Neodiprion lecontei: one gene and its partners. The protein of the gene in region 2 purifies or fractionates together with the protein of the main gene of each other region. This does not show direct contact. Links are inferred from orthologs where the notes say so. Each region holds a gene or a part of one and is shown on either strand. Other genes may lie near its edges.

Region 1 (4,794 bases), on a different chromosome or scaffold from region 2:
AGGGAGAAAGAATGAAAGAGAGAGAACGAGAGCGCTGAAGTAATTGGAGAGTGTGCGGCGTGTGTGGGTGTTTGGTGCGTTATCACCTAATTGGAGATTACGAGCGCGCCTTTACTCCCAACAAACCATCATCTGCCTATTACACGAACACGGACTGCAGACACACTGTTACTGTAAACTGCACACTGCAGGTGCATGCTCTGTGGAATGTTCTTATTAAAGAGCATGCGCCGATCAGTCTTAGAGTTACTTACAAAATATGGTTTGGTATTTTTCAAATGAAAAAATCAAATTCCTAATTATTATTATCCCTTATTTTTGATCAATAAAAGATCTGTTTTGGGGATTTTGTTGAATTTTCATTCATTAATGTTCGATTTCCTCTTCTTCCTATCCAGTTGAGAGTATTGTTCTCTTATGCAAAAGTCTCTGTCTCGCTTTTGTAAAGACAAAAATCAATTTTTTTCTTGTTATTTACCCTTTTGCAACAGTGTCTTTGCGGAGTAGAATAATTTTATACGTAAAGTACGAGAATTAAGTTTCATATTCCAACAACTTAAGTTTTTATTTAAAATTTATATTTTTTGAATAATTTACAAATGTTGATTTTTAGACATTATCAACCAATCGCGTGTTTCGACTTGAATATCCTAACAGTGTTGTCGGCCCCGCCAGATACCATGAATTTTGGATTGGACCAGTTGCAGCAGAGAACTTTGTCATCGTGTCCAGAAAGATCAAATAACGGTGCTTTGGGACTGTAAGAAGAATGGGAAAGGTAATATCGACACCACATAAAATGAAGTTCACGTTTATTAATCATGTCTAAGAATGTGTAGAGACTTTATGCACAAACCTTCGAGTATCCCAAAGCTTCACCTGGTTATCGTATGCTCCAGACAGAAAAAGGTATTGATCAGTCGTTGACCAGAAGACAGACTGCACCCATTGCGTGTGTGAAGTGAAAGTTCCCTTGACCACTGATCCCTCTGAAAAAAAAAAAAATATAATGCCAACGTTAGCAAACATCAACGATCATGAATATCCGAGTGATTTTACTACGTGGCATAGATTTCATCCTCACCTGACGATCTTGGGTCGTATAATCTGATATGCCTGTCGGCTGAGGCGGTGAGGAGAGCGTTAGCTAACGGCGAATATGCAACATCAAAGAAGCTCTTATTCCCTGGAATTTCATGCTTGATTCCACCAAGTTCTGTATCCCAAATTTTTAGCGTGTGATCCCATGACGACGTTACTATTTCAGATTTATCTGACCAGACTACACCACTAATTGCCTCTTTGTGGCCTTTCATCGTTATTTCTGGCGTCTGAAATTGCCCGAATTATATTGTTGATAAAAAAAAACTGGCCTGGTAAGTTTTACTGTATTTTTTATTCTCAATCATATAGTGAACATAATCAAATTTGCCATACAGATACTCACTCTAACTTTACCATGATCTGTTTTCAGCTTCTTTGAGGCAGACTCACCGTCATTGTTTCGATCGTCGACAGCTGTAAGAAAGAGTTTGATTTATGTGATTATTAATCGTATTAAAAAGATGTACAAGATCAGTTGCAAATATTGTTCAGTTCAAAGCCCTAAGTTAATTCATCAAATAACTCTCGTTCAGAATGCACCTCTTCGAACTTACAGGTGGACCAAATCTTCAGCATTGTATCCCATGATCCCGTGGCGATCAGTGTGGCATTATGATTGACTGCAATGTCTTCCAGCCCGCGTTCATGTCCACGACAAATTTGAACGCATTCTATTGAGTTACTTCTGATGTTCCAATCCCATAAAATGGCAGTTTGGTCTTGCGATGCACTGCAAGGAGCAAGAGATTAATGTGTTATTGTATTATATCTCATTAATTTATTGCAAGTAGATTTGTAGCGATAACATGAACGTTGTGTACTTCGCTTATAGTACCTAACAAACGTCGCCCTCTCATTGTCTAATGTTATCCAAGCCACTGCTTTAATGGGCGATGTGTGTCCTGGAATTGTGAGGTGATGTTTTCCTTTCGTATTCCAGATGTGCACGGTATTGTCGTAACATCCCGTCAGTATCCTGTAATTGGTGGAAAAAGTAGCAAATTACTACTGCTTTGTTATGTGTGAGTAAATTTCCCTAGCCAAAAAGTCTGTAATTTTGAAAACGTTGATGTAAAAATTGAAAACACTTGCCAGTTCTCTCTTACAGCAACTGCTGACACCCAGTCATCGTGTATGAGACAGTCTTGGGGTTCCGGAGGAGGATGCCGCTCCACATACTCGACTGAAACGACTTCCTCAGTCGTTACTCCACGCTCATTGATATGCTCGGCTAACGAGGTGCGCAGGAACTCATTGCAGACAAGAAAATCAAACTCTACAGTTGCAGTGGAGTCTGCAGATTCTGTATAACATTTGTTAATGAATCAGATTTGCAGTACAATATTTCTACAACAGATACGAGCTTTTCCAAAGTTCAGGAAATCTCACCTCTTAAAAGTTCATTGAGTATAGTATTCAGTTGATCAGTGAAAACTGTTGATGGCACAGACAATGGATAGTCTGGAACAGCGTACCTGAAAATCGAATTTGTGTAGATACAAAACAGTGAAATTTATATTGGCATTGTTTTAAAAGTATCAAATTTCTATATCCAGTTTACAAGAGTCTGCAGTACAGCCGACAGCCGTTTGTTCCACGTGTTTAGCTTTCACATCAAAAACCTGACTGAGCAAAACGTGTGTTCATACTCATATTTTTATATACTCACTGTTCTTGTTTCGTGGTGAAGCGTATTTGGATTTGCGGAACGTCGTCATCGACACTTGCCATCGCGACGGTATGCTATTGAAACTGTGAAATAACTGATGAAATGATTATTAAGTTAAAGCCGCTCCGTTCCTATTGTCAACCAACAATTTCGATCTAACTTAACCTTGTAACATACAACTATCATGTACAGAAAATGCGTAGGAGGAGTGAGGATACCCTCGTCACAGCTTGTCTCTCTCGCTCTACATTTGATTGGCAGATACGCTTCCTTTCAGCCAATCAGATGCGGAGTGAGAGAGACAGGCTATAACCAGTATGCCCGGGTATATACCTCGCTCTCTTATCACTTCGACTGCAATTTTCACGATGTGACGGCATGGGCGGCTACGTCCAGTAGTACGTATATGCTCTAAGAACCTAACCTATCTCAACTTAAAGCCGAAATTTTATTTCAGCGACAAGAAATTGCAGCGATGCGTTGGCGTATCAACCAATAACGGACTCGGATTTCTGTCAAACATCGATGTCGCCGTGGTGTAATTCCGGCCTAATCCAACCTAGCATTCCGGTTAACGTAGTTCGGCACGTGGTGAATTTTAAATAAGAATGTATGTAACAATTGTAGGATTAATGAAGGAACCGAATACTACGGGAGAAATTAAGAGATTACCGTTATTCAGTGTGAGAAACTTGCTTTAATCTAACCTTATACTCACAATCAGTGTAACGACAGTGTCAAACATGCGAATGAAGCGATCGACTGGGCCGAAATCGGGTACTCCGAAGAAAAAACCGCAGGAGGAAAATGACTTGACCGTGAAAAGGATCGGCGGCGGAAGCATAATCGATCACCGTCCGTTATTTTCCCATGATGGAGAGTAAGTCAAACATAAACCTATGCCTCTGATACTTTGATGGATGATTATCTAACCTCAAATTTAATTCTTTAGGTTATTATTTGTCGTTTGGAAGCATTCAATTAGAGCCTACAGCACTAGGACCGGAGATCTGGTCAGAGAATTTGAAGGAATTGAACACAAGATCGCAGGAATATCTTCGCACCCTGACAACAGAGATGTAGTTTTAGCTTGCTCAGACGTCGGTGAACTGATATATTGGAACTGCTACAAGGGTCTGATAATAAAAAAAACAGTATGTGTTCCAGAAAAATTCTCAATCAGTTTTTGTTCTCTTAATACCGGCTCATCATGGATTAACAATTTTCTGAAACAATTCGCAGAATCTTCAAGTTGATGATCGTGATGCAAAAATTAGGACATTTCATATTGTCAGATATCGGACAAGTGATGGAAGTAACGTTACCCAAGCGCTGGTCACCTATCTTATCGAAAGGAAAATTCATGTGAAATTGTTTGGTGTAGAGAACGGCAAAATCGCTCTACGAACTAAATTAGGGTACGCTATTTTACTTGAAACTTATCACTTTTTTTCTCTGCACTACATCATGTACATTGGAAATCAACCATGCTTGGGAGAGCAAAGAAAATTTATATTCTTTCATTTCAACCACAAGGAAAACAGAGTATCATACATATCCGTTGCACTAAAATCTCTTATTGCTAATGTAATAATTTAATTTGAAATATACATTTCTTCAGCATACCTCTCTGAATATCCAGAATTTTTACATTTTCAGCTCCATTTCTGATGAATATTATGTTGATGTTGTTGGGAGAGCTGGTGAACACTTAGTTGCTGTTGCGGAAGATGTTAATTTGCACATATTGAATCCTGCAGAGGATTTTGAAGGGATTTTGTAAGTATCGTGCCTATTATTTTGCAGTTGCTGATGGTACTAAATTTTTTCACCACATTTTACTCTTCTGTCATTTACTTTCTCCATAGACATAAAACGGGCAGACGGTGTACAGCTGTTGCTGGGCACCCTGACAGAGAATGTCTAGCCACCGGGGACTCGAGTGGCCGAATTTTAGTCTGGTTAAACATTCAACAACGTATGGTAATCAAGGCCACTTATCACTGGCACACACTTCCCGT
Region 2 (8,063 bases):
ATGTATGAGAATCGTAAATACGCAATTCATTGGAATAAAATATGCGATTTCATAGCATTTTTGGAGAATTATAAGTAAGTGCGAACTGTAAAGTTGTTTGAATATATTCATTACTCAGGCTGCCTTGACGGCTCATGCTGCAAACTTCACACTTATTGAAAAGTGTGCTATTTCTGACAAGTGTGAAGTTTGCAGCGTGAGCCGAAGGCGAGTGCTACGTTCACGCGAATACGAATGTTGCATCGTACGAATACTAGTGTGATAATCACTCGAGTCGAATATCCCCCATCCGCCCGCTATTTTTCCAATACCTGTAAAGGAAAGTTTGATTTGAGAAGCAACGAAGGTGCCACTGAAATTTGGGTTATCCTGTAATTAATATAGACCCTTCTTAATGCGGAGCAAAACGGGTCTTTGAAATTAATTGGTAAGACTCTGAATACCGAACTAATACGTGTAGATTTCTCAAGCGTCTAAATCCATGTGTTATAAAAGAATTCTTAAACAAACGAATGAAGAACTCGCTATTTTGAATTCAGTCTGTATTTTGCAAATTTATTGTATCATCTGTGTACAGTAATATTCATTAATGCCTTGGGCTGCCGGCTAATTTGTTTTCGGTCCAAAACAAAATGCGTGCTCGGTTATGTGACAATGACCGGCGATGCAGCCAAAGTGAGAGATTGGGAATCATTGTCACACAATTCGTGTAGAATCGAGCCTGCATTTTTTTTCGGACGGAAAATAAGTTAGCCGAAATCCCAAAGCATTAATGAAAATTACTGTATAATGAACAGAATAGTATTCGCCCAAAAGCAATATTAGCAACAAAGTTTTTATTTCGTTTACGTATTTAAAAAAATCGAGCACCAATTTTCTAACGCCTGATAAATTGCAACTCTATTAATTTACCTTTTATTATTACGATAGAATTACATCCATATTATTTTACCAATTCTTTCGCAGCAAAGTCCAACTCCTCAAGTAGAATCAACATCATAAAAGTATTTGAGGGATGGCTGATTCGCTTCACGTGACAGATCTAATCTTCTCATCATTACAGTGCAATTCATAAAAATCTTTATTTTAGCTATCATGAAGCATTACATACATATATCGTATCGTTATGTACTAAACACACGATACACATACGTATATGTAAACACATGAAACAACTGCATACAGTTCGAGTTTAAGTGTGAACATGTAATTAAATTCCGGTAACACTATAATAGCTAATTTGGATAATTGTAGTTATTGCCGTTTTCTCTTCACAATAAGACGTATGGATATTTCCGATCGAATTCATGCCGTATTTTTAATTTTCCCCTCTTTTCGCATCTGTTTACGTTTCTCTTTTTCTGTAGAATCGTGGATGCGTCGTTTTTTCCTAAGTAGCCAAATCTCTTTTGCTCTGTCCTCTTTTCCTTGCATCATACTCTTGTACAAATTCCTATGTTTCTTTTTTATCATTTTCTCCCTGAGACGGTATTCCTGTTTCTCAATACGATTCTTCTCCCATGGATTTTCCCTGGTCAATTGACCCTGTTGCACCACCATTCCCTTTTTCTGCGAAAGAATCAATATTCGTATTGCACTAGAATTACCTTCCTATCATTGTAGGAAATTTCCCAGAAAATTTTCTAGTACCATCATCTGAGATATACATTCAAACATCACTGCAATTTTAATGCGAAAAGAAATTCGCGGGAATAGTTTTAATACGCTCCTTTGCACATTACCTTTTTCAATCTCTCTTGCTCTGATTCGCTGTCATTCGTTTTTGTTACTGTGATTTCAGGTTCCTCCTCTGAGATATCATTCTCTGTGGCCTCTGCACTTTCACCTTCAAGAATCGTTTCCGCTTGTTCTATCTCTGGTTGATCATCTCCTTCCTCTTCTGCTTCCGATTCTTCGCTGTCATCTTTAGCTTCGATAAAAGTTTACAAGTAAGTACCATATATGACTGTGATATGCGCTGAGCCTTGAGAGAATTCTGATTTTTCATTTTATTTACCTGTTTTCACTTTAAATTCTGGGTCGAGTAAAGCGCGTTGTTCGGGCGGGATATATGTTTGATCTCGCAGCATGTCTGTAAATGGTGAAAGATGCGGAGGAAGCACACTACCCATCAAATAATTCTCGACGGGTAAAAGTTGTCTAGCATTTACAGAATCAAACACCCATTGCGGTTGAATGTAGTACCTAAAAATTTTTTGTCATTGGTATATAGAATGTTTTATTTTGTATATATTTCTACTGTAAATTTCGCCTATTAAGCTGTAATTTGCACTGCATATCGAAACTTTCAATGCCGGATTAACACCTCATACGGAGTGCGACAGTGTAAGTAGCAGTCAAGATGCACACCAGTTAGTACAAAAAAATTAGTTTTCAAATTCACAAACCTATTCACTAATTTTTTAAAGAACTTATCAATACCTTGAAATTCATATGTAAACCTTTCTACATTTCTAAACTATCTTCCCAAGCATATAATCAACAATTGAAAAATTTATGATGGTATGTATGGATATTTTTTTTTTGAAAGCTCTGACAATTGCAACGTGGATTTGTAAAACATTGATTTTCTCAGTATCATTATCAAGAGTGTTACAATTTACTAGACAAAATGCATGGCAAATAACTCAATCAAATAAGAGATGTAAATTGTATGTATACAACTTTTATTGACTTTATTTTTTCATAAGCGTGTTATCTTTCTGACGAACTTTATTTAATTTTACCTGGAGATATATTGCTTTGTCATGCTTGGCCTGTCCACAATTTGATGCGTAATACTTTCATTACTTTCATCAAAGGTGGAACCTACGAATAGCATTTTATCCCAGGATACTTCTCCTCCAAAACACCTCAATACAAATACAAGGGGTTCTCTGGGGACTTCTCTGTTCACAAAGAATTTTAAACCTTTGAATAGGGTTTTTAGTTTCTTTACTTTTTCTACTTCAATTCTTGATAATTCAAGTTGAGAAGGGTCAGCTTCCTAAAACAAGTTTTGAATCAGAGATGATTTAATAACTGCAGTCCGTGTGTAAGTACGTATTCATTTACTTCACAGATGTATAATAAAGAAACGAACTGTCGGAAATTGATCCGTATCCAGCTCTTCTTCTGGTGCTGGAGTCGCATTGTTAACACTGGACAATGGCGAGTTCAGTGCAGCAATTCTTTCAGACACATATACTTCTTCATCCACTAATTTCGTATCGGTACTTCCTTTGAAAAAATCAGTAATTAATCGTTGAATTCAAATACTTATGCCAGAATTATGGGTCACCATAACAAACGAAGTGCTCAAGAGCGCATGATGCTAAGCAAAACTACAATTTTCTATCATGTACTTCAAACAAAAGATCTCAAATTAATTCTCCATTACTTTTTAAGATCGAGAACATTATAAAAGCACCCTCAGGCAAATTGGCTGCAATGCTTATTGATAATTTTTTTAACATGGATAGTATCCTCAAGATGATGAAACCGAACAGTTGGATAAAAGCAATTGTTCATGACTTTTAAGGGACACATAAAAATACTAAGACACCGAACGACGAACCTTGTTTATATAATAATAGTTTATTCACCAGGGTTATGAATTCTACTATCCTGCATTTCTTTGAAACCTCGTTTATACGTTTCTCACTTGTATGTCATTTCACTTGTGCATTAAATTCCTTCAGTCCCGGTAGTTTTTGCTTGCAGACCACATGTAAAATTTCACTCATAAGTAATTCATTTTGATATTTTTCACACCTATGTATCATTTATTCCGGTATAGAGCACTCTTTTCCCTTCACCCGAACATTAATTACAACTAATCTCTCATTACAAACTTGCGTTTTAATATTCTATGCGCCTATTGTAGGAATTTCTAATCGATAAAAAAACATGGAATAAATTTTATCACATAGATGCTACAATCGAAATACGATAGTTTGAGGATAAACAGCAATAAAAGCAAAACCTATCGCAATCATATTAGTGAGTGTAATAAAATTGGTGTTTCGGTTATAATACTTGTTGAAATTTTCCCAATTTTCTATTGTAACTCTTGCACAACTTTCGGTGTACGGATACGTTAATATAAGTCAAACTATCACATTTCTACTAAACTTTCTACAGTAAATTTTTGTCCGTGCGTTAATACAAACATAGAAGCATCATAATTGTCATATCCCTTCGCAAACGTATAAACGAGGTTTTACTGTATTACCAAATATGCCACTTTCACTGCTTTTACCTCGTTTTATCGATTCCCAGAATCTTACTCCCATTCCATTTATATGGTTTCTTATTCTGAAAGTGCTACGACAATAAATGTTAAGCTATACTGGTGTTCATCATTTGGATTTTAAGCTTTACACGTGGACATAGCACAATTCATGTTTCATTTTGATCTACTTGTACCTTTTCTACAACAATTTCAAAGGTTTGAAGGTAACTGCAGCAATGGAAAGTTTTATAGTTTTTATACAGGGCCAAAGGTGCTACAAGTTTAACTGTTCAAAACACGCCATGGGTACAATAGAAGTATGAGAATTGTCACGCAGGAACCAGCATTTTAATAAGCTTGATCTTCGAAACATTAATGTGGCGATGCATTTCCATGATAAATCAGTATTTCACAATTTTAGGAGTATCTGAGATTCACTAAATCATATGGAAGCAAAACATACTCATGTTTTGTAGACTTAAATACCTTCAAAGCAAGTCTAAGGCTGCAAAATAATAAAATATTTTCCCATATTCGATTACTTTAACGTTACTAACTTTAATGTCTTAAATTTTGATTCACTGTTACGGTAAGTTTAATTGGAATAAACTTTCCTTAATGAGTGACCTCTCCTTGTTAGTTACAGGACAGTCATAAAAAATAATGCGTTTCTTTGTGTTATTTAAATATTAGTTTACATTATCAATTCTTACCTGGACTGTTGAATTTTGGTGGATAAAACATGTTCAAATCATGATATAGCTTGAAGTTGACGAAACCCAACATAACAACGTAAAACTCAACGAACGTTGACATCACTTTGAAGTCGACTTCATTTTTGGACTGTGGTTCAAAAGAAAAGTGGTGTGGCACTATCCATGTGATTGTTTGCCCCTTGATTTCAGCTTGGTAGTAAAAGCCTTTGATCGAAACGAAAACCTTTCGAAGTGCTTTAGCTGCTATAACAGCATGCAAAAACTCGACGGTTAATCTCCTGCATAAAAGTGAGTGCTCACGTGGCACGTGAGCTATAGAAGGAAATGTGCTGAACAAGAAACATAGCGTGAGACAATCATCAAGATCTCTCAATGCATCTATGAATGTTGGGTAACGTTCTTTTACAATGTGATCTAGCTTCAGCTGCGGATGATTATTTAAATACCGTCTCAAAGCACCGAATTCCTTCATTGCTTTAGCTCGGCCAACTTTTCGGTTGAATATCTGTAAGAAGAATTAATCAAGATTATGAAACAAATAAAAAAGTACTCAAACACTTGCCATGTAATGCAGCGACCCGGTATATAGGGTGATAATTTCACTTACCTTAAATTCTCGAAATTTCCATATTATAGGCTCGTGCATGAGGAATTGTATGTCTTTTTTGTGGTATAAGGTTTTAATACTTGTATCTCCATGTTGGGCTCGCTTCCTGTTACGAGGTTCCCGGGGATAAATTCCTTTCAATATGCATAGTTTCCGAAAGTCTTTCAATGAAAGCTGAAGTTTCTTTAGAGCTGATCTCCGTGATAAAAACTGAGCACCCTCACCGGATTGGTACTGTGAAAAGCATCAGACAAGCATGGAGAAATAACCTCAAAAATGTTAAGCGTTAGAAAAGGAGGTAAGATGTACGTTTTCGAGATTAAATTTGTGTGATTTATATATCTACCTTTTTCTTTCCTATTACGACCATTCTCTCAACGATCTGTTGTTTTCAATGGTTAATATTTCCTCATAAAAAAGATCCAATTCTTGTATTGACACACTTCACACGTGCCAATACGAGCAACTTGTTATCTCTCGCTACTCCCGTGCTTGACTCCCGTGTATCGAAACTGTTGCCGAATTCGTGCGTCACACTGCGCGCTGCTTCAATGTACTAACGATAAACTTCGAATGGCAGAGTTTTCAAATCTCTGAATCAATGTGTTTAAATAGGGGTTGAGAATACAAGTGGTATGATCAGTTTGATCCTTTTTTCAGGACGAACTGACACCACTTGTAAACGACTTGTATTCATCATCGCTTTGAATAAATTTAATCAGTTACTTAGAATTTAAAAATATTTCATTTATTGTCAAATAAAGTACAGTTGAATTAAAAAGATGGACTAAAAGCAGAAAGCAAAAACTCTGGTCAGTTTGTGGTGCAAGTATAAAAATCTTAAGTGAATCTAAAATACAAGTAACGCAATAGTTATCAACGAAATACAGGTAATGGTAATTAAGTCAAAATTACAAATAAAATTATAATGCAGAAATACAAATTATATACAATTTATACAAAGAGAAAGAAGTCGGATAGTGAATTTATCAAGATTTTACAATGTTTGTTAACTGACACGTATTCTTTACTGTAAAATTGATTTGAAGTGTTTTTCGCGATGTATCCGTGCTTGTCTAAAGAATTTATTAGTACTGCATCTTTATGATTTAAAATTTTACTTACAGCTGTACAGAATGTATTGATGTCTAGGGACATGGAAAATTGTTTAAAATTATTCTTTACTTTCAAGGCATGAGCAGAGCAACCAAGCCACCTGAGACATTTTTTTCATCCACTTTTGCTTTGAGGTTTTTTAACAAATTTCTTCTAAAACTAATCGATAGAAGCAGACTACGGATGATTTAATAAAATTTTTGGAAGGAAGTTAAACAATTGTTGCTAACGTACTTCAAAACATATATCTCTTCATCAAACACTTTACTTTCTAATTCTCCATGCAAATCTGGCAAAGGTTCCATTGCCAGGATGGTCGATTTGCACTCTGAACAGACTTGCAAAAATTTCAAAAGCCTGCGTGCTACATATCCTGCTATATAATCACACACAGTCTTTGTCACTATGGACTGTGGGACCTATCGTTGGATATTACTTTCATCGGGCAGGTGGAGCGCATCATCTAAGCAATCTACCGGTTCGTCATGGTTGTTATCGCTATGATCCTCCAATATGTGGACTAAATTGAGCAGTATACTTCCCTTGTCGTCTACACAGTTCGCACTCAATGAACGATGCGAATTGAAATTACTGACAAGGAGGGACTTGTATGTGCCAACAAATTGTCAACAAGTTGGATTCACGTTGTGGCAACCATGACTGCGACTAAAGCAAAGAATTTCTCCAAACAATCTTGGTTGATATTACGTGACAAAAAGTAATCTAATTCCTCTTTCTGATATGAAGCCTGTCAGAGTAATCGACCAATTCGATAGACAAGGAACACGCCATGAGGGTAGTAAAGTTACTCTGTGGACAAATTTCATATCTTGAAGCTTGTGTCTTACCTCCATTCAAAATCGTTTGTGGGAAGTACATACACATGGGAACTAAACACTTTCCATGCAAATGGCCCATGTGACTTCCTCCTAGGCGTTCTCTGGTTCCCCCTAAAAATCCCTAAATAACTCCTACCTGCTGTCAGGCCATTTTACCAGCCTCTAGACAGAAAATCAGTGCTGTAGGTGCTGTACTATTTGTATTACTTTTTTTTAAATTCATATACATACAGAGCTTTCCATTGTCAACTCGACCAATGATTTTACCTCACGATTTTTGATTCACTTTACGATTGTTTTCCTGATTCTTCAATCTCAATCATCCCTCAATTTTGTTCAGTTTTTACACCCGTTAATTTGTCAGGATTATTTTTATCAAATTTTATTGTCACGTCTTACAATTTGCACCACATCCTCTTGAAATATGTAATTTTTTTTTAAATAAAAAAAAAATTACCGAATCTGAACAGATCAGGTCCATCATTATGTTCATTATGAATACCCAAAGTTTTAATCGACTGAGCATGATAGAAAACACAAGTTCTCACTTA
Region 3 (7,489 bases), on a different chromosome or scaffold from region 2:
TGGAATCATACATCATCTAGCACACAGATTATGCAAGGTATATTACAAATTATTCATATTTCTAATTGTATTCTAGTTTTTTTGTTTTATAAATCAGATAAATTCACCCAACTGGAACGTACCGAAAATCTTGGAAACAATCCATGCAACTGACTGAAATGGAATTTCTGCACTTGAATTGAAAGTGTTTTCCGACTTTAGGCTTCTTTATTGCCTCACCACAGTGAGTACACGTGAAAAATACCATTTTTATGGATAAGCACGTGCCGGAGAATCATGAATGCAAGTATTTTTTTCTCCAATTTGCTCTGTCGGGATTTGCTTCGACTGGCAACTGTTGACAGCATAAAAGTAAACTAACCTACAAGTTAAATATACCGTTTTAAAAATGAGCTATAATTGTTGGGTAAAATAAACTCAGGTCGTTGTAAATCATAGGCCTAGTGGTAGATTTACTCACTCGAATTGAGGTTAAATACTGCGTGGTAATCCAAGATGCCAAGCTTCAAGCACGAAGTGAGAGGGAAGGAGACCGAACTCCGATCCCAAAAGTGGGATCAATTTTCCAGCGATGAGTGAGCAGTTCGCTGCGAAGAATAACCGAGATGACAAGTCACGCATGCGCAGTACGATTAGCTGCGTCTTTGTATCTCTCGCGTAAAGTGCGAGTGAGACAGTTTTGTTGTTGTGACAGCAAGTTCATGAGGTTATGGTGCGTAATAATTTCTTGGCATAATGATAGAATCACAAATATCGCTTTATTATTTGCAAAAAAGAAACGTGAATACGCTGCGAAGTCAGAAATCATAGGTGCGTATTTTACGAACGTTGTTTATGGAACTTTAAGCCGTAAATAGTGGAGCATTTGAATCATTCTGGACGTTCTTACAGATATGGAGCAAGTACTTAATGAATTTAATTACACGTATTTGAGGAAAAAGCTATGTGTAAGTATTTTACCAGCACCAAGTTGGGGTTTTACACGAGGAGATCGCACATTTTTTGGTCTACAAAAGATTGAAAAGGATTGCTGTTTTACCAGATATGCACGTTGAAATATACATAGACAATAAAATTTGGCCGCTCTGAGAATGTATTATCCTTGTTAATATGGATCAGTTTATTGTTCTTCTAAACAACGTAGATAAAATGCCTTTGCCAGATCATTAGGATATTGAACAACCATTTTTTACACTCATGCTTTAAATGTAAACAATTTATCAATCATGTTCAATACGAAAATTGTAAATGGTAAATAGGAGAATCAGGATATATACAAGTTTTACATAATAGAAATTCTCAGCTACAGTGATGAGAATTAGGAGATAAGGTTAGGATGTAGAATATAAGGATTCACAAATTAGATATATACATAAAAACGATATTTCTTGCTTGTTGTTGGCAATTTCAATTTATTGTACAATCTGGTAATAAACATAAACAGAAGTATAATTTTGTTTTACCATCACTCTATGATCACGTTACGTACCGAGGGAGCTTTAAACAACGTGTGATTGTTATTTTTGTCTTTATATTTGGTTTTGCACTGCGGTACACGACACGCTGACATCTTACCGTAAAAACTAACCTCACTGTCATAACAAAACTATCTCACTCGCACTTTACGCGAGAGAGATAAGGACGCAGCTAAGTCGTACTGCGCATGCGTGACTCGTCATCTCCGTTATTCTTCGCAGCGAACTGCTCACTTTTTTATCGCTGGAAAATTGATCCCACTTTTGGGATGCGGCCTCGGCAGAGTTCGGTCTCATTCTCTCTTATTTCGTGTTCGGAATACACCCAGCATTGAATGTTGTCCCGCGGTCATCAGCGACATCAGCAGAGATCAGCCTGCTCGTGAGTTAACGATCCCGCGTCGTCCACGTGCTTTGGGTCAATTTTGAAATTCATTGACGCTGGAAGTGGTGTCTGCATAAAAGTAGCATTTACTCTTTCTGTTTGAAAACCATTGTTCTGATATGGGGGTAAGTCAAGTGAATTCAAATATATATTTGCACTATACAATTCTTCTTCACCCGATTGCACAAGGTGACATAACCTAATGGTGCAACGCGCCATACTACACATCTGCTCATTGCATCAAAAATTATATACCGTATTATGGATTCCCGGAAATTCACACTTTCGACACTTGTAGAGAATTGTGATTTCTCACATTTTAGCTTGTTCTTACGTAAATGTTCTTAAAATCAACAGTAATAACTATATTTATGTCTAAGTTAGCTTGAGATGAATTAAAACGTATTTTCCAGAGGTCTTAGAATAGTAAACAAAACCGATTCGTCATAGTACGAGTGCGCGGTATTGAAAATTAGGTACCGATTTTCATTACGGGTTTCGTATTCGGTAGTTTGGGTTAACCGAAATATCGAAATGTCGGTAGACTTTAATCTACAAATATCGTCGGAAAAAAGATTAAGAAAAATCTGTATTGAACTGTACTAAATAACTTTAGGTTATCAGAAACTTCGGTATTCCCGTACCGATACATTTCGAGGAAGGAGATACTGAAATACCGTGCACCCCTACTCCATAGTGTTATAACAAACTGAGACACATATTTTGAATTTTTATTTGCTACTTTACCCTTACTGTTTGATACAAACTTTTCGCACCGTAACATCCATACTTAACAACAGCTCTTTTTGCAATCTGGATCCCAGTGGTCAGAGAATATGCAGCATTTAATAAGTTTGAAGTTAGTAACATTATTATAAGAATGCATGTTGAGGAAAAATCGTTACTTCACACCTTTAGGATTGTTTCAAACTTAGCAAAACATAATTTAAAAAAATATACTCATGTATTGAAAAGCTCGTTGAAAGTTGTTTTAAAATTGGACAATGATGATTTTTTCCCTGATTTTTCATTACATTAATATTAGTAACTTTAGTTCCATAACATTTTAGTGCTTTTATTAATATGCATCTTCTATCATTCTTTCAAGAAAATAGCAAAGTCGAAAATCAGTAAGATAAAAAGGAACAATCAGACGAGGACTAAACTTTCTAAGCAGGGAAAATTGAAGAGCCGTAGAAACCGTAAAACTCAAAAACAGTTGCAACAGCCACCTACAACACTAGTGTCAGAAAATGTTGAAACAGAAGATGAGAGTGATCATGGTGAAGATATGCTTGGAATGGTTGAAAAAGATGACTTGGAATTTTTGAAAAAAGCCGTATCTAACCAGAGTTACAATCTTCTCAACCAAATTACATTAAACCAGTATGTAATTAATCGAAATTCATGTCTTTATATACAATCTTGTGATAAAAACTTGGGTCAGTATTATGGAGTATTAAAAATAAAACGCAATCTCCGTTGGGGATTGAATGGAAAGAAATTCCTGCTAACAAAATTTCTATAATGGAGAAAGATCTTGGGTGATTTCAACATCACCTATTCAGTCAGAAAATTGAAACCATATTGATGTCAGATGATTCATTTTCTCTTTAACAGTCTGTAATTACAATATACTACCATCTTGACATTTTGTTAAATTTAATCTTAATTCATCTCAAAATATATCCAAATTGAAGGAGTCACCCAGCTTGCTCGTACCCTAAACCAAGTCACTTTCTGCATTGTCTTAATCTAGATCAGAACCTGAAATCAAACGAAAACGGAAAAAATCTACAGAACTTGATGATTTAGAGGAGAAGTATGAAAATGCGACAGTCAACACCACAATTACAACCAGTCGTACACGAATGCTCCTGCCCATTAAATCTCAAAATAAATTAATTGAACGGCATATTCCAATAAGTGAAATAGAGAACTTTGATACAGACGAACAATTAAGAATTGAACAGGATCGTAAAAGTAATGGTCTACAATCTGTAGATGAAGAGGAATTGACCGACCAGGAACTAAACCTAGAATATATTGTAAGAAATTACCCAAATCTGAGAATACTGATTAGACAAAGGATAACTGTATTGACATCTATAAGCGATGTAAATCCATTGTAAAAGGGGAAAGTCTTTCAAGACCTGTGGCATATCAGAAGTATGTTTTTATGTAAAAATGCACATGGTATTAAATAACACTTTTTTTCAGGAGGAGGGAAAAATAGATGTAAGTAAACCAGTATCAATGGTAGAATTGTTGGCATGCAGAGAAGAGGTACTTCAATCACGTCGTTTCAAGATCGGAATTTTGTCAAGTGGCCTATTAGAAAATCCTGAACTGAAGGCTGGAAACTTGAAAGTACTTTTGTCACTTATGGAAGAAGAGCATCCAGAAGTTTATATTACCGTTAGGAAATTGGCAATGGTATCCTTGTTGGAAGTATTCAAGGACATTCTACCTTCCTACAGCATTAAACAAATCCCCCAAGATAAAGTTAAATGTATGATACTGATTACTGACCTAGTCCACAATTCAATTTGTCCAAAACACCACATTTTGTTAAATTATTCTATATGATGATATATCATCCTAACCGATACATATAAAATAAAATTTTTTAGTGAAACGGGAGACATTGAATTTACAAAATTATGAAGCAGTAATGTTGAAAAGCTACAAGTTGTACTTACAGAAGCTTGAAAAATTTGCTAGCATGTTGAACGGAAAGAAATTGAACATGAACAAGTTACAAAAGCAGGAAATAATATTGGGAGAAATTGCTATCACTTGTATGTCAGAGCTTTTGATCGCACATCCATATTTCAACTTCTCTGTCAATATTGCTAACCTTTTGGTTCCATACTTGGATAGTAAATGGTCAAATGTAAGGGAGATAGTGGCTAAATGTGTTACTCAGATATTCAAAGAAGATAAACGTGGCGAATTGTCTCTTGTGGTGAGAGTTTGTATGATAAAATTAATCTATCATTGAAATATAAAAAATAGATACGGAAATTTTTCTGAGTCTTGTTCAAAATTTATTAACGCTAGTACTTTGCCAGTCTTTATCTGTTTGTGCCTTTTACAGATTGTGCGTCGAATAAATCAATATATAAAAACTAGGGGTCACTCAGTTTATGTGGAATTATTGACCGTACTGTTGGTTCTGAAAATTTCTGATATAAATTTGGATAAGGGCAAAGAGGAAGAATTGAAACAGAAGAAACTCCAGATGCATAAGCAGAAATTAATTTCTATGAGTAAACGAGAACGGAAGAGAAAAAAGAAGCTAGAACAAGTTGAAAAAGAGATGATTGAGACTAAAGCGGAAGAGAATAAACAGAGCAAGCAACGGGTGTTGACCGATATAACCAGTATAGTATTTACTATTTACTTCCGCATTCTGAAGCAAATCCCAACGGGCAAAATTTTGTCTGTAACGTTACAAGGATTAGCTAAGTATGTTTTCATCCAAGCACAAATTGCTGCGTCATTTTTTCTCACAAAATAAAGTATCTTAGGGGTAGAGATAAGACATCTTTGAGCCAGTTCAAATTTGATAGGCGAAGACAGACCAAGCAGGGAGGAATATGCATACAAATACACCAACTATGTAAAGTGCTATTGCCGACTAATTTTTGGGTTGATAATAACAAAGCCTTTTACATTTGAATGCTCAAGAGGCACCAGGACCTAAGTACAGCAAGTGCATCTACATACCCCTCTAATTGGTCCCCCTTCCCAATCAGAAAGACGTGATTTATGTTCTTAAAGTGGTATAAAGAAAGAATTAGACTTTACTGCATTATTTAAACTGGGCTTGTTCAAGTGGTGTGATGCGAAAGAACATTTATTTACTTTTTGTAGGTTTGCACACAGCATTAATATAGAGTTCTATCAAGATTTAGTTAATGTTCTGAATCGATTATTGGAAGGTAATACCTTAACTTTGAGAGAGCAACTATATTGCATTGAAACTGTCTTTGTTATTTTATCTGGACAAGGGGAGGCATTGAACATTGATCCATCAAGGTAATTATGAGCTGCAAAAATAGTTCACTTGTGATCCACGCATAACAATATCAAAGGACTAAATGCGGAAAAATTATTTGATTTTTGTTTTTCAGGTTTTATTCACACCTCTATAGAAACTTACTTGGTATTCATGCGGGTAAAAATCATGCGGATTTAATAATTATTTTACGAACGCTTGGTAACATTTTGATAAAAAAACGTAAGAACATCTCACAGAATCGACTTATTGCCTTTCTGAAACGAATAAGTATTTTGGCACTACAATTAGAACACAATGGTACGCTTGGGATACTAGCTATCATCAAAATAGTGATGCAACTTGGAAAAGCCACTGACATTTTACTGGACACAGATTCCTCCATAGGAGAAGGTTTCTATGATTCGGTGCTGAATGAACCTGAATACTGCAATGCTCAACGTTCAGCTTTTTGGGAACTGGTTCCTTTACAAGTAAACTTAAAAGAAATAGCATTTTTCAGCACAAATTGGTGATTATACGTCTGTTGATTCAATACCATTCACTTTCAGAGGCACTATCATCCAATGGTGCAAAAAATGGCGAAAAATATTGCAAGAGGAGTTCCTACAAGTGGAGAGGGCAGTCTAGAGCCAGAATTTGGGAAATTGTGAGTACGAGGCATGATTCTATATGCAGAGACAATTTACTATATTTAAACAAGAACCACTTTTGATGATCCACTTTTGATGATAGTTTCAAAGTGTGCTTTCAAAACATTTTCTGATAATAATAGTAGGAATTAATTTTTTAACATATTCTTGTCCTCCATTTTAAGATCTCCAGTGGAGCTCTTTGACGAATACAAAACAACAGGGGTTATGTTCAAGCCTGCTGTTACTAAACCCAAAAAAGTAATATCGGTGAAATTTTATGGCTACAATCACCATATAACGAAACGTTACGAGGATTATTTCGAAGATATTTTCCAACATTCGCGTCAGAATGATACAGCTCCGGATTTTCATGGGTCTTTCAAATTGAAGAATTTTAAATGTATACAATAATAAATGATTTTGCACGATAATGCGACTTCTCTATAAATATTATATTAATGTATAGACATGAGGGCTGATTGTTCAATTGCCCAAGTAAAATTCACCCACTACTTGAAAACTAACTATAATATACTGATTGTTGAAGGCCTTCTAATAGCATCACAAAGGTATGTCAAAGACACATGAGAGTCAGGTCGGTTTATATTGTATGCTGGTTTAAGAAACATCTTCATAAATCAATTTATTGTCATTACCTTAGAAACCATTAAATTTTTTTTGCAGCAAGCATACAGTCTTGATCTGAAAGTTGTTGTATCAGGAACTGTGCACGTAATTCCACGCAAGCTATATTTTCTTCAATAATAGTTCTCACAAGTGTGGCCTTTTTTTTCTAAAACAATAATTAATAACATATAGACAGGTCATACTTATTTTATACGACCAAAGTATAAGGCTGCAAAATTTTAAGCTCGGGAGTAGTTTTTTGTGGATGATCCAGTCTTAAGATTCATGAAATATTGTTATAGAATTTCATACTTTTCGAAATAAATATTAAAAAGAATATAAA

The links. Proteins that work in one complex are often made in the same cells at the same time.
Region 1: the proteins of pescadillo homolog (region 2) and ribosome biogenesis protein WDR12 homolog purify together in Homo sapiens (co-immunoprecipitation; 7 studies listed by BioGRID and IntAct, counting the BioPlex papers as one, with this or other methods). This does not show direct contact. The link is inferred for Neodiprion lecontei from reciprocal best matches to the Homo sapiens genes PES1 and WDR12.
Region 3: the proteins of pescadillo homolog (region 2) and nucleolar complex protein 3 homolog purify together in Homo sapiens (affinity purification with mass spectrometry; 3 studies listed by BioGRID and IntAct, counting the BioPlex papers as one, with this or other methods). This does not show direct contact. The link is inferred for Neodiprion lecontei from reciprocal best matches to the Homo sapiens genes PES1 and NOC3L.

Annotation. Positions count from the first base shown.
Region 1 is NC_060264.1:3,892,685-3,897,478, reverse strand, and holds ribosome biogenesis protein WDR12 homolog, read right to left. Parts: upstream 2,966-4,794; 5' UTR 2,836-2,965; coding exon 2,774-2,835; intron 2,580-2,773; coding exon 2,494-2,579; intron 2,408-2,493; coding exon 2,197-2,407; intron 2,081-2,196; coding exon 1,940-2,080; intron 1,835-1,939; coding exon 1,659-1,834; intron 1,519-1,658; coding exon 1,448-1,518; intron 1,332-1,447; coding exon 1,085-1,331; intron 990-1,084; coding exon 857-989; intron 759-856; coding exon 620-758; 3' UTR 540-619; downstream 1-539. Other genes in the region: WD repeat-containing protein 75, read left to right, coding at 3,517-3,653, 3,726-3,927, 4,016-4,191, 4,433-4,552, 4,642-4,794.
Region 2 is NC_060262.1:23,171,466-23,179,528, forward strand, and holds pescadillo homolog, read right to left. Parts: upstream 6,065-8,063; 5' UTR 5,928-6,064; coding exon 5,904-5,927; intron 5,792-5,903; coding exon 5,558-5,791; intron 5,456-5,557; coding exon 4,948-5,455; intron 3,241-4,947; coding exon 3,104-3,240; intron 3,008-3,103; coding exon 2,748-3,007; intron 2,206-2,747; coding exon 2,018-2,205; intron 1,950-2,017; exon of another isoform or gene 1,931-1,949; coding exon 1,743-1,930; intron 1,570-1,742; coding exon 1,306-1,569; 3' UTR 620-1,305; downstream 1-619. UniProt on the Homo sapiens protein: Component of the PeBoW complex, which is required for maturation of 28S and 5.8S ribosomal RNAs and formation of the 60S ribosome.
Region 3 is NC_060265.1:31,638,501-31,645,989, forward strand, and holds nucleolar complex protein 3 homolog, read left to right. Parts: upstream 1-1,847; 5' UTR 1,848-1,979; coding exon 1,980-1,985; exon of another isoform or gene 1,986-2,968; coding exon 2,969-3,246; exon of another isoform or gene 3,247-3,619; coding exon 3,620-3,908; intron 3,909-4,080; coding exon 4,081-4,372; intron 4,373-4,493; coding exon 4,494-4,828; intron 4,829-4,960; coding exon 4,961-5,331; intron 5,332-5,739; coding exon 5,740-5,904; intron 5,905-5,999; coding exon 6,000-6,357; intron 6,358-6,435; coding exon 6,436-6,533; intron 6,534-6,701; coding exon 6,702-6,930; 3' UTR 6,931-6,950; downstream 6,951-7,489. Other genes in the region: cell growth-regulating nucleolar protein, read right to left, coding at 123-247; ralA-binding protein 1, read right to left, coding at 7,187-7,312. UniProt on the Homo sapiens protein: May be required for adipogenesis.